Caenorhabditis elegans: one gene and its partner. The protein of the gene in region 1 purifies or fractionates together with the protein of each later gene. This does not show direct contact. Each region holds a gene or a part of one and is shown in the gene's direction. Other genes may lie near its edges.

Region 1 (8,252 bases):
TCTTTTTGTAATAGATCGTCTATAGACCGAATGAACGTTTTTGTTCCTTAATTTTTGAAATTTCTCTCTGTTCTTTTGTAAACTTTGTTGTTTTAGTCACGAAGCTTATTTTTATTATTCTCATTCAAAATTTTTCGATAAAGTGGCTTGTTATCAGCCATTTTAAACTCGTTCAATCAAATCATGGGTTGTACAGTTGTTCTACGAGCAAACATATTCAAACTCTTCCCCAACCCGTGAATACTCTTTTGAACGGCACCCCATTGCCGATTTGGGGTGCACCATTAGGCAGACCTGTCTGTCCGCAAGCCTCCTACGTCATCACACAGACACTAACCCAGCACCATTGCGCAGACGCGACAGACGACCTTTTATTTGCTACTCATATACCACACGATTTCAAATTGCAGGTTTTCGTTCCGCCGAAATGGATTCAAAACTCTAGTCATTTCAAAATTAATAAAAGGTTTGTGTTTTTTTCTCTCACGCATTTTTAAAATTCCATTTCCAATATTTAAGATGGTCGAATTTTCAAAGGAGTCATCGACCAGAGTCTCTGTAAACTCACAACGACAAATATCGCATGTCCAGAAACGAGAGCTCACGAAGCGAAAGGTTCGTTACTGATGTAACAGATAAGATGGGAAGTAGTGTAGGCGGGATTCTAATGGAAGACTGGAAGGTCAACCGTTCGATATGACATCATTGTGACCCCATGATGCTCGTCGGAAGATAGGGATTCTTTTTTTTTTTGCGTATCTGCTACGTGGTTATTATGCGTTGTTCAAATACTTTAACAAGAACAGTTTCTCTATGGCATTCATCTTATGATCTGGTAAGATTTCCATTTAAAGAAACACATTTCCTGAGCAATAAAAGTATGAATAATAACTCATTAATTAATAAACGTATTTTGCAGAGTGTCCGATTTGAAACACAAACTGTGGAGTCAACATCCGAATTTGTTGGTAAAACGAATCAGGAATGGACGTTCGTCGCTGATTGCTTGTATGTTTCAAGCTGTAATTTATTAAAACTATTTTTTAAAATTCCATTTTTCCAGCAATCTCGACAAAGAAACTCGAAGTGAACGAGAACAGGAGCTTCTCTCGCTGTGCAACTTCTTCGATTCGAATGAGAAGGAACTCGAGTTGAGCGGTATTAAATTAAAATTTTAATAATCCAGTTATCAATAAGCGTATTTTAGATGCTTCTGACGAATCGGATGACTCGGTTCCATTCGAATTATTTGCCGAGCAGGGAATGCGAATTGCTTGGACTCAAATCGTTACGTAAGGATTATTTGATGGTTTATGTTGTTTTAAAATTAAATTTTTTAGCTCACCGTCATTGAGCAATCTTCGCTTAGCTAGCATTCTCCGCTTCGATACAAAAAAGAAAATAGTTTCACCCTTCATTGAGTGAGTTTTTCTGATAAAATGCCCGATATTAAAATGAATTATTCTAGAGACGAAAAGAGTCCTCAAGAGTTCTTCTTGGACGACAACGAAGCGGTCGAGAATGCTTTCAAAGGTGTCTTACCATGCACAAATTCTCAAAAAGTGAGCAGGTCACGTCGAGCTTCAAAATCAGAAGAAGAAAACGATTTCGTAACGGCCAAGGGATCCGACTTTTGGAGTGATGTCGAATTTTAAGAAAGACCACGCAGCAGAAGCAACAACTACAATGTTCACAAATCCCAATGCAAAAACTGACCGATTAACGGATTTTATCTACTATCAAGAGCTTTCAACCGTCTTCCAAAGAAGAACATCTATTCGTCTCCCCGCAATTCTATATATAATTTCGTTTTGTCTTATCTCAAATTCTGTTCGTATTTCATTTACTGATCAAATTTACTCTTGTTCTATTGTAAATCATGTCCTTATTCCTAATCTCCAAAATTTTTTAAAAATTAAAGTTACCATTCCACTAATTTTCATCTCTTTCCCTCAACCCATTTCATTCCTTTCGCCGATACTCTAAAATTTAATGTGCCTTTCTTTCATTTAATTTCAGTTCATCTCTCAATTGCCTTTTTTCAATTTGCAGAAACTTTATTTATTTCCATTTTATCATCCAATGCCGTTCAACGAATAAATGATTTGATTAAAACGTTGTGTGGATTGACCAAGTGGTTTTCTTCCATAAGTACCTGAATTGTATAGATCAACTTTAAACATTTAAGCATTGAAACATATTTCCAGATGGGCACGAAAAAAAAGATTTTGGCAAAACTAGCCAAGTTCGGCGAGGTAGACTGGACTCCGAATGAAGAAGAATTGGCAGAGCTCGTTGAACTTTTGAATGATATAAAAGACGACGTAAGGTAGAAATTAAGGATGATAATAATAATAATTTAAAGACTTTAGATATCTACACAAGAAAAAGTTCGAGACGTCGATTTGAAAGTGCTCGCAAGCTTGCTCACTGTCTACCGAGCAACGTGCTGTGAGCTCGATATGAGCATTTTTGCAATTCTTCAAAGTCTTGAGAAGTATGGAACAGATTTCAGCGATTTACAACCACTTGTTTTCGGCGAAGAAGCTAGGAAGAATTATGAAAATCTGCGGAAAATGGGACTCGACCTGCATGTTAGAATTACTCCAGACGATGTAAATGAATCTTTTTATCTTTCAAATAAATATTTAATTTCCTAATTTCAGGCAATTAAGACGTTTTTTGATGCAGCAACACTTTGGAATACTACTAAATATCATGTTCGGCCGGTAAGTTATCTTATCACAAATTATATTATCTCATGGTTTTTGTTTAGCTGACAGAAGAAAATTCTGAAAAAATCTACGATGTTCGATTTGTACTTCGATTCTTCAACTCGATTCTACATCCTGCATCTTCGGTAAGTTATTGTTTTAGGTGCAATTAAAAATAATCTGTTTAATTTTCCAGCTTACTTCAAAACTATTTGTTGAACATAACTGCCTTGCCCTCCTGTTCTCGTGTACATCTTCATCGGATTCTTCTGTCCGAACTTTGGCGTTTGCATGTCTTCAAAAGTTTGTGAATCATTTACAAGAACTGAACACTGAAATATTCGCTGAAAAAGCACTGATTCTCTATCTAATTCGAATTTTCAAACATGGATTCGATTCGTCAGTGCCGAGAGTTTCAAGTAGTAAGTTTTTGCGAGGAATTTAAAAGTTCCAATTATTTTTTTTTCAGTCATTACTCATTTCTTCGCAAGAGTCTCAAAGTTAATGTTGAATCCGTCAAGTGATGTTTATCCGCAGATCATGGCTTTTCTCTGTATGAAACCAATTTTTGACATTCAAAATGTATGTTTCTGACTGTGATAGAGGGGTTTTCCACTACTTGAAGAACATTTTTCAGGTTCCAGAATTTTACAAACTTCTCTTCTCGTCTTCTCCAGAACACCATAATGAAGAACGTGAATGGGTACTTACTCTGATCTCCGAGGCAATGCTCGAACCCATCGATTATCAAGTTCTACAAAACCGAGCTGGTATCAAATTGCTGCTCAGTTCGTTCTCGAGTGTTTGGCTGGAACGGAAAAGTCGTTCACTGATTCTTCGAACTCTTCAAAATGCCGTTCAAATGCCATCTGTGGCTCATGATCTTTTCACAAGAGAAGGCCTGCACATGTGGATTGCTTCTATCATTCATGTGAGTTCATAGAATAAATATCTACTTATTGCGCCATGTTGTTCCAATGTTGCCAATTGAAAATTGATCTCAAAATAAAGTAAATAACTTTATTAATCTCAAAATAATATTTATTTCAATTAAAACACTTTCAAAAGGTGCTAAAAATCACCTGAAAGTTGCAAGTTGTCGTAGTTTCCACAATTGGCAACTTTCAGGCAGTCTTTGTGCATTTTCTGAGATGTTTCAACTGAAATAAATGTAATTTTCAGATTAAAAAAATTGATTTTCTATATTTTGACACTAATTTTTCAATTAAAAAATATGTAATTTTATATAATATAATCTCTGCCAATGACGAAATATTTCCAGAGTGGTCGATTCAATAGATGGGAGAAGAACTATTTGGCACAAGTATTTTGTAGTCTTTTGGAAAATGAACGAAAATATCAACGAGGAGAAAAAGGAAAAGAGCAAGCGTGTAAAGCGGCTACTTCTGCAGCAAGAATTTGTAGTAAAAAGGTTAGTGATTCAAATTTATGAAACTTACTATTACCGGTACAGAGAGTGTAGATAGTTAGAGAGTGCCAGACATCCGGGACCCAATGGGGCGGGGCGCGCGGAAGAGACGATTTGTGTCGATTTACGAAATTTTCCTTGTTGTCATCATTTACTCTCTAACTATATACCCTCTCTGTACCGGTAATAGGGAGTTATTCAACCATACGGTGCGATCGGGTAAAAGTAAACGTGTTATGCGATAGCTGGCATCTTAGGCTTTCAGAATCTGTAATTTGTTTCGGCGGAAGACCTCTGTGAGTCTGGAAATTTTCATCTGAAAATGTAGTACTGAAATCAGTGCATTTCCTATGGTTAACAGTGGATTTTGTCTCTGGCGCCAACAGAAGTCTCACTGCAATGGTGGAAGGGCGAAATCATCGCTTCGGTGGTCGAGTGGTGAACGCGTTCGCCTCTTGAGCAGAAGTTTGTGGGTTCGGTTCCCACACGTGGTTTAAATTTTGGCCTTTTTTTATACAAAATTTTTAGAACGGGAAACAAATGTTTAAAACAGTTTTTTGAGGTTTTTACATTACTTTTTTGCTTTTTGATTGAACCACAATTACCCTGGAAACTTTTCAGAAATTTTTATTTTTTCGAAAATTGCCACTTTTTTCTCCACCAAACCCATGAGAAAATTTGATCCAAAAATTTTTTTTGAATTTTTTCAAAAATGTATGAAATATTGTAGAGTGTCACAAATAACTTATTTTTCATTGTTTTCAATGACCGAATCACTAATTCTGATGCCGTATCAAGACGTTTTACCAATTCGATATTGGCAAAACACCTTGTCTTTGAGACTCCATATCTCCGCAGGAAAAAATTGCGCTTAAAAGTGATCAACTGAAAACTTGTTAAACACAATGTGATCTAAAACTTTTCAGTTGAACACTTTTTTGTAAAAAATTTGGTTGCTGAGATATAGACCTTTAACTATTTAGAATATTCAAAAATAATGAAGCTCAAATCAATTGGTTCCAACTCGGCAACCAAATTTTTTACATGAAAGTGTTTTACTGAAACGTTTTAGATCACATCATTTTCAACAAGTTTCTAGTTGATCACTTTTTTGTGCGATTTTTTTCTGCAGAGATATGGAGCCTCAAAAACAAGATGTTTTGCCAATATCCACTTGGTAAAAGATTTGGTATTCTGATTTTTTACATTTTTTACCATGTGGCAAATTTTTTTTCGAACTACCAAGTTTTTTTTGTACAGTTTTATAATGATTCAACATATTTTTTGGCATATTTAACACCGCGAATTAGAACAATTTGCGGTAATTTTTGCATTTCATTTGTTTTAATGGTTTTTGAAATTTTCTGCCCTTCGTTGTTTTCAGTACTCGTTCTATAATACTCGGCAGAGAACACTTTCTCTATTATTATTCATTTATTTTTTAATGACTTTTTCTATTGCGAATGTCATATTTTTGCTCCGGAAGAAATTCCCGGATCCGCTACCGTCTGCACCATCCATCACTCGCGAGGAGGAGAAAATGGCAACTCATTGTTGGAACATTATCAATCAAGCTGTTGACGGAGATATAGAAGTATATGAAGATGACGATGCTGTTGACGATAATCACGAGGATTGGATTCCAGAAGAATTTGAGGTATAATGAATTTAATAATGGTACAACTATTAATTTTACAAATTTAGCCGAGTGACGACGTAGTTCTTGCATCACATCGCGATGTAATGTTTGGTGACAGATCAATTACTCGAGAATTACTTGATGAGGCAATTGTGTTTTTCCGTGGAACCAAAAAAGGATCAAGAACTCTCTCTTCGATGATGGAGAAGTACAAATGGATCAAACGAGAATGTGATTTGAGCAAGCTTCGAAAGTATGAGAAGGAACGAGACGATTTCACAGAAAGCCGAACAAATCTTCTGCGCCGTCTCGGTAAAACACTTTATGAAGTGGTTAAAGATAAGTTGGAAAAGGGTATGTTTAGATGTTCTGAAAGTATACCTATCAAACTATTTTTAGGTATGATGATTCATGACTCTGATCTCGCATCAATTGCTCGCGAAATCAACAATAACGAAACGAAAGTCGAAAACTTCATTGCCTCGTCAAATTGGGTGTCGAAATGGAAGAAGAGTCATCGGTACGAGTTTTGAAGTATTTGAAAGTATCAAATTTCGATTGTTTTTAGGATCGTAAGCAGGAGAATAACCAAATTTGTTACACGGAGGTGTATGCGGGATAAAGTGGCTATTCGAAAAACAGCTGATGATTTTGTCAGGGACACCAAACGCGAAATGTCTCCGTTTGATCCATATATGATTTTCAATGCGGATCAAACAGGCATACAAAAAGAACTCTACGGTGCACGATCATTAGCATTTTTGGGAGATAAGGTAGTGGAGAGGCTCGTCCAGGCAAAATCATCCCTGACACACAGCTTCACTTTTCTTCCGATGATCTTCATGAATGGCTCACTTGGACCGAAGGCGTTTATTGAGATGTCAGAACCTGCCACTGGATGTTTCCCGCCAAGCCGACCAATTCCCAAATGCCCGAACTTGGAAGTCAGAGCGGCAAAAAGCCACATCATGGGAAAAGAATTGATGTGTGATTGGATCAAGACTTGTGTGGCTCATGCTTCGCTCCCAAAAAGGCTCTTGATGATAGTTGATAGTTGGCCAAGTTTTAAGGATCACGCTACAATTCAACAATGCTTTCCTCCAGGATATGACGTCACTATAAAGAACATTCCACCTCATACGACTTCAATGATACAGCCTCTTGACAGCCATTGGAATGGCCCGTGGAAAGTATGTTTTTCTTTTTCTTCCACTTCTTTTATTTGATTATTTTACAGAACTTGATCAAGAAGTTCACCACCCACGTACTCAACTTCCATCCAGATTTCCTCATTGCAAATCGGAACAATGAAATTTGGATGATTTCTCTGCTTTATCACCAGGTTTCTGCTCGCGAGTTCCAATCATTCATGATGTATTCTTGGAAGCGTTGTGGCTACTTGGATTCAACTGACACGTTTTTGACCCCTTCACAGCATTGTTTTGGACAAGTCGAAGGCCAATTGTGTTACTTCGCAGGATGTTATAATCTTGCATTCATTTTCTGTGCCCGTTGTAAAGAATATATCTGTTTCTCACATTTTATTGTCGACGAAAAGCATCTCTGCCCAAATGTGTGATTGCTGCCCACTGTTTTTTTCGACAAATGCCTTATTTTCCAGTGTCGTTTTATTGATAAAATATGCCAAAAAATATGTTGAATCATCATAGAACTGTACAAAAAAAATTTGGAAATTCGAAAAAAAATTCGCCATGGTGCACATGAAGAAAATTTCATTTTTTGGTCGGAAATTTTTTTCTCCAAATCTGTTAGATATTCAATCCCCATAAAAATCTCGATATGAAAAACATGGTAAAAAATGTAAAAAATCAGAATACCAAATCTTTTACCAAGTGGATATTGGCAAAACATCTTGTTTTTGAGGCTCCATATCTCTGCAGAAAAAAATCGCACAAAAAAGTGATCAACTAGAAACTTGTTGAAAATGATGTGATCTAAAACGTTTCAGTAAAACACTTTCATGTAAAAAATTTGGTTGCCGAGTTGGAACCAATTGATTTGAGCTTCATTATTTTTGAATATTCTAAATAGTTAAAGGTCTATATCTCAGCAACCAAATTTTTTACAAAAAAGTGTTCAACTGAAAAGTTTTAGATCACATTGTGTTTAACAAGTTTTCAGTTGATCACTTTTAAGCGCAATTTTTTCCTGCGGAGATATGGAGTCTCAAAGACAAGGTGTTTTGCCAATATCGAATTGGTAAAACGTCTTGATACGGCATCAGAATTAGTGATTCGGTCATTGAAAACAATGAAAAATAAGTTATTTGTGACACTCTACAATATTTCATACATTTTTGAAAAAATTCAAAAAAAATTTTTGGATCAAATTTTCTCATGGGTTTGGTGGAGAAAAAAGTGGCAATTTTCGAAAAAATAAAAATTTCTGAAAAGTTTCCAGGGTAATTGTGGTTCAATCAAAAAGCAAAAAAGTAATGTAAAAACCTCAA
Region 2 (3,789 bases), on another chromosome or scaffold:
TTTTTAGATTAAGCTTAATTATTGGATTATAAATTTCTTAATTTCAGACTTGCCCACCGCGACTTATTGGTTGTCTGATTAATGGGATTGTGGATGGAAATGACACTTATTCAAAGCACGCTGGTGACGAATCTACGAGAAATTACAACTTGCCAGATGCAATCAAAGCATGTGATCTTAGTTTTTCGGAAGTTGATTTCAAACTAACTACTGGATCAATCAAAGAATCTCTACCAAAACTAATCAAGATGGCTGTTCGGCAGTAGGTTCAAAATTTCAAATTCTATAAATTTCCGGCATTTTTCAGTCCATTATTTCAATCGGAAAGTCGCCTTGTCTTCATCATGATGAGCTGTGTTCGAACAGTTTCGATTATTTTCGATAGAAATCAGGACACGCTAACTCTATTCGACGCACACCAGCATTACTGGCCAGATAATAAAAGTAATATTTTATAGTTAAGCTTAATAGACCAATTAAATATAATTTTCAGAAACTTATAAGCACGGCGCTCTCATTGGTACTTGTAGCTACAGTAACTTGCACTCATTTGCAAAATGGATAGAAAATTTTGTGTATCCGGATGTCGCCGACCATGTTAATGTGAGGATCTACATTTTTTTTCACCTGTCATTACAAAATTTCAGGCATTTGAAATTTCGCTGATAAGAATTACGGAAGCCGGCACTAACAAAGCTCAAGGTGTATGTAAATATCCGGATAATAAATTCACAACGATCCGAACGCCAGTTTTCCAGGCTATGAATTTGCAGGAGGACAAAGAAAGTAAGTTTGATAGTGATTAAACGAAATTCAACAAAAACTAGATTGCAGATCTGAAATTGTCGGACCATCCAGTTCTCCTCGGCATTCTCTCCAAACCCCCAATCGTAAAATGTGGAGTAAAACGACGACACGACTCAGAAAATGGGGAAAACGAATTTACAATAAAATTAAAGAAGGTATTGAAACACAGCAGTTAAACATAATTTTAATTTCTTTTCAGAAATCGCCTAAAACGACTTCTGAGCGGACTTAATTACAACTTGGAAGATTCTCAACAATGTGCCATCGAGTTTTATGTGATATACAGTTTTTCTCTAGTATTTAGAATAAAAGTTTTTAATAAATTCATTTTGTTAAAGAACTAGAAGGAAAATAGGCAAAAGAAAATGCAAAAACAAAAAAGAAAAAATAAAGAAAACTCCAATTGCTCGTCATATGTGATGCGTTACAGTAATATCTGTGCGGCACGCAGACGCAACATTGCACAGCGCGGGAAAATTTGTTGTTGACAATTTAAGTTTATACTCCCAAAAAATTGTTTTTTCTCTTTTCAAATGAAAGTTTTGCTGAAGTATTGTGTTTATTTTTGTTTAATTAAAAGTTTTTAAGCGGCGGCAGTGTTAATAAGTGATTCAAGCTGGAATTATCAACTGAAATCAACCAAAAAATCGGCCTGTCGGTCTGTTCTAGCGGTAGAATTCTAAAAACATCATGAATACAGTTTATATGTTTGTTTAAAAACATTTATTGATAAACCTTTTCGAAACGTACTAATTCCCGCCGTATGGCCGGTTTTTAGTGGACTAGGCAACGCTCGGTTTCTAGGCTCTCCCGCGCTATTATACTCATTTGAATTTATCCGCTTTTTATTGAATTTTGAATATATATCGAATAGTATTTATTTTCAGATATTAACAAATCAGAAAATGGACACTGAAAACATCGCCGACGCCTCTGATATTCGTGTGAAGGATGCTTCAGGAGATTCAGATGAAAAAGGAAACGGGACTACTACAGAAGAAGAGACTGTCGAGCAGAAGTAAACTTTTGCTGCAGAATATCATCAATAAAATCACTTTTCGTATTCCAGAGAGAAGCGTCTCGCCGAGTTGCTTGCAGCTGGACGCCGTGCGTTGAAAGTTAACGATATCGACAAAGCATCGGATTCGTTGAGTGAGGCTACTGAACTGAGCTCCGAAATTTATGGAGAAAACCATGAAAACACGTTCGATTCTCTTTACTATTATGGCATGGCCACACTGGAATTGGCGAAGGAGGAGAGCCAACTTCTGAAAGGTCCAGGTGAGAAGGAAAGCGGAGATGAGGAGCAAGCTGGAAATTCTGATGACAAGACTGACGAAGAGAATGGAGAAACGGAGAAGGAGGACGGAGAGGAATCCGGTGAAGAAGAGGACGATGATGATGATACCATGAAATTATCATGGGAAATTCTTGAGGTTTCTTATTTTATTCAATGATTTTATGCTTAATTGTGATTATTTTCAGACAGCTCGTTGTATTGCCGCTGCCAAAATCGAAGCTCTAGAAGCTGAGCAGAGTGGAATCAGTGCCATTGAGGAATGGAACCTGAAACTCGCTGATGTACTGGTTCTCCTCGGCGAGCACGGAATATCAGATGGAAAGTATACTCAGGCTTTTGAGGACTTGGATCGTGCCCTCAACATTCAGCGCAATGTTCTTCCACCGTCGTCGAGAAAAATCGCCCAAACCTACATTCTCATCGGAAACGCGTGTGCTAGCGATGCGAATTACGATGAAACCGTTCAGTACTTCGGCAAAACCAAGGACGTACTCATCGCCAGGCAGACTGAGTTGAAGCATGAGCTGGAAAGAGGTGTTGATGATAAGGAAAAGAAGTCTGAATTTGAGAATGAGCTGAAGGAGCTTGAAGAGATGATGCCAGGCGTTGAAGAAATGATTGCTGATGCTGTGCACTCTGCAGCACAAGTTGAGGAAACTAAGAAGGCCATTAAAGCGCAATTCGAAGGATTCACACAAGTATTGGCAAAACTTCCACAAGAAGCCGGTGATCAGAAGGAAGCAAATGATATTTCTAGCTTGGTACGGTTTGAATTAACTTCCCGTAGACTTTTTAAATATTCAATTAACAAATTTCCAGGTTCGTCGTCCAGCAAAACGAGCAGTGGATGCTCCAACTGACAATCAAGCAGTGAAGAAAGAAAAGGAGGAGGAAGGAACAACTTCGATCTGAATATTGATAACCTGTAATTCTAAATATTTCATCATGATCTGACCTACTGAACTACTGATAATGTATCAATTAACATTTTATCTGTTATCCGAATTTAAGGATTCTAAAGTAAAACTTGTTCTGTATATATATATTCGCCATATATTCGTTTTTATAATTTGTTTCAAATCTTTTTCATACTTCCAAAATAATTTTACTATTTAAAACAGGATTTTCAGCTTCATTCAAATTCGAATTATACTTGTATGAGTGAAGAATTTGATGATTGCCATTGGAAAAATATGATCTCTGCTAATAAACAGTTTGATATTCAGCTGGGAGATGAAATTGGAAAGGTAATTTTTTTTAGATAATTAACAATTTAAAAAAAGTAAACTTAAATTTTCAGGATTTCTTCACCCAGGATACAGTGGTCTGCGCGTTTCGAAACAAGGAGAAGACCACGGATTTTGTCTTCACATCGGGTCCAATTATTCTCATTTGTGATGGAACGACGCGACGGAAGATGATTAAACGACGGTTCAAAATGGAGTTTGATATCAAAAAAGTGTTCTTCCACTCGTTCATTGTGACTCGAAACGCTGAAAAGTTGGCAACTGAGAATTGTGGTGGACCTGATACGAAGCATCGGGATTATTTGGTTGTGTGCGGTGAGCATAAGCTCCAGTTCATATCGCTTCCCGACTATCATTTCTATCACTATGAAATTCCTTTTAAGGTGAGAATTTAGTTTGAAATTCTGATAATTTCAAATATTTCCAGCTTCGCAA

What was found.
Region 2: the proteins of urb-1 (region 1) and nasp-1 fractionate together in Caenorhabditis elegans (co-fractionation; one large-scale study listed by BioGRID). This does not show direct contact.

Annotation. Positions count from the first base shown.
Region 1 is NC_003283.11:6,418,111-6,426,362, reverse strand, and holds the start of urb-1 (Nucleolar pre-ribosomal-associated protein 1 C-terminal domain-containing protein), read left to right. Parts: upstream 1-2,207; coding exon 2,208-2,324; intron 2,325-2,372; coding exon 2,373-2,615; intron 2,616-2,666; coding exon 2,667-2,729; intron 2,730-2,776; coding exon 2,777-2,860; intron 2,861-2,910; coding exon 2,911-3,136; intron 3,137-3,183; coding exon 3,184-3,296; intron 3,297-3,351; coding exon 3,352-3,645; intron 3,646-3,996; coding exon 3,997-4,146; intron 4,147-4,564; exon of another isoform or gene 4,565-4,637; intron 4,638-8,053; coding exon of another isoform or gene 8,054-8,143; intron 8,144-8,203; coding exon of another isoform or gene 8,204-8,239; intron 8,240-8,252. Other genes in the region: T05H4.11 (DUF4706 domain-containing protein), read left to right, coding at 520-615, 920-1,008, 1,064-1,158, 1,208-1,292, 1,341-1,421, 1,469-1,655.
Region 2 is NC_003280.10:11,104,924-11,108,712, forward strand, and holds nasp-1 (Protein NASP homolog 1), read left to right. Parts: upstream 1-1,688; 5' UTR 1,689-1,712; coding exon 1,713-1,825; intron 1,826-1,876; coding exon 1,877-2,243; intron 2,244-2,292; coding exon 2,293-2,868; intron 2,869-2,926; coding exon 2,927-3,019; 3' UTR 3,020-3,147; downstream 3,148-3,789. Other genes in the region: C09H10.9 (YqaJ domain-containing protein), read left to right, coding at 48-262, 308-444, 494-603, 648-786, 835-962, 1,007-1,039; apc-1 (Anaphase-promoting complex subunit 1), read left to right, coding at 3,301-3,354, 3,408-3,737, 3,782-3,789. UniProt on the Caenorhabditis elegans protein: Promotes normal hermaphrodite (XX) development, in concert with zinc finger protein tra-4 and histone deacetylase hda-1, perhaps as components of a complex. May act redundantly with nasp-2.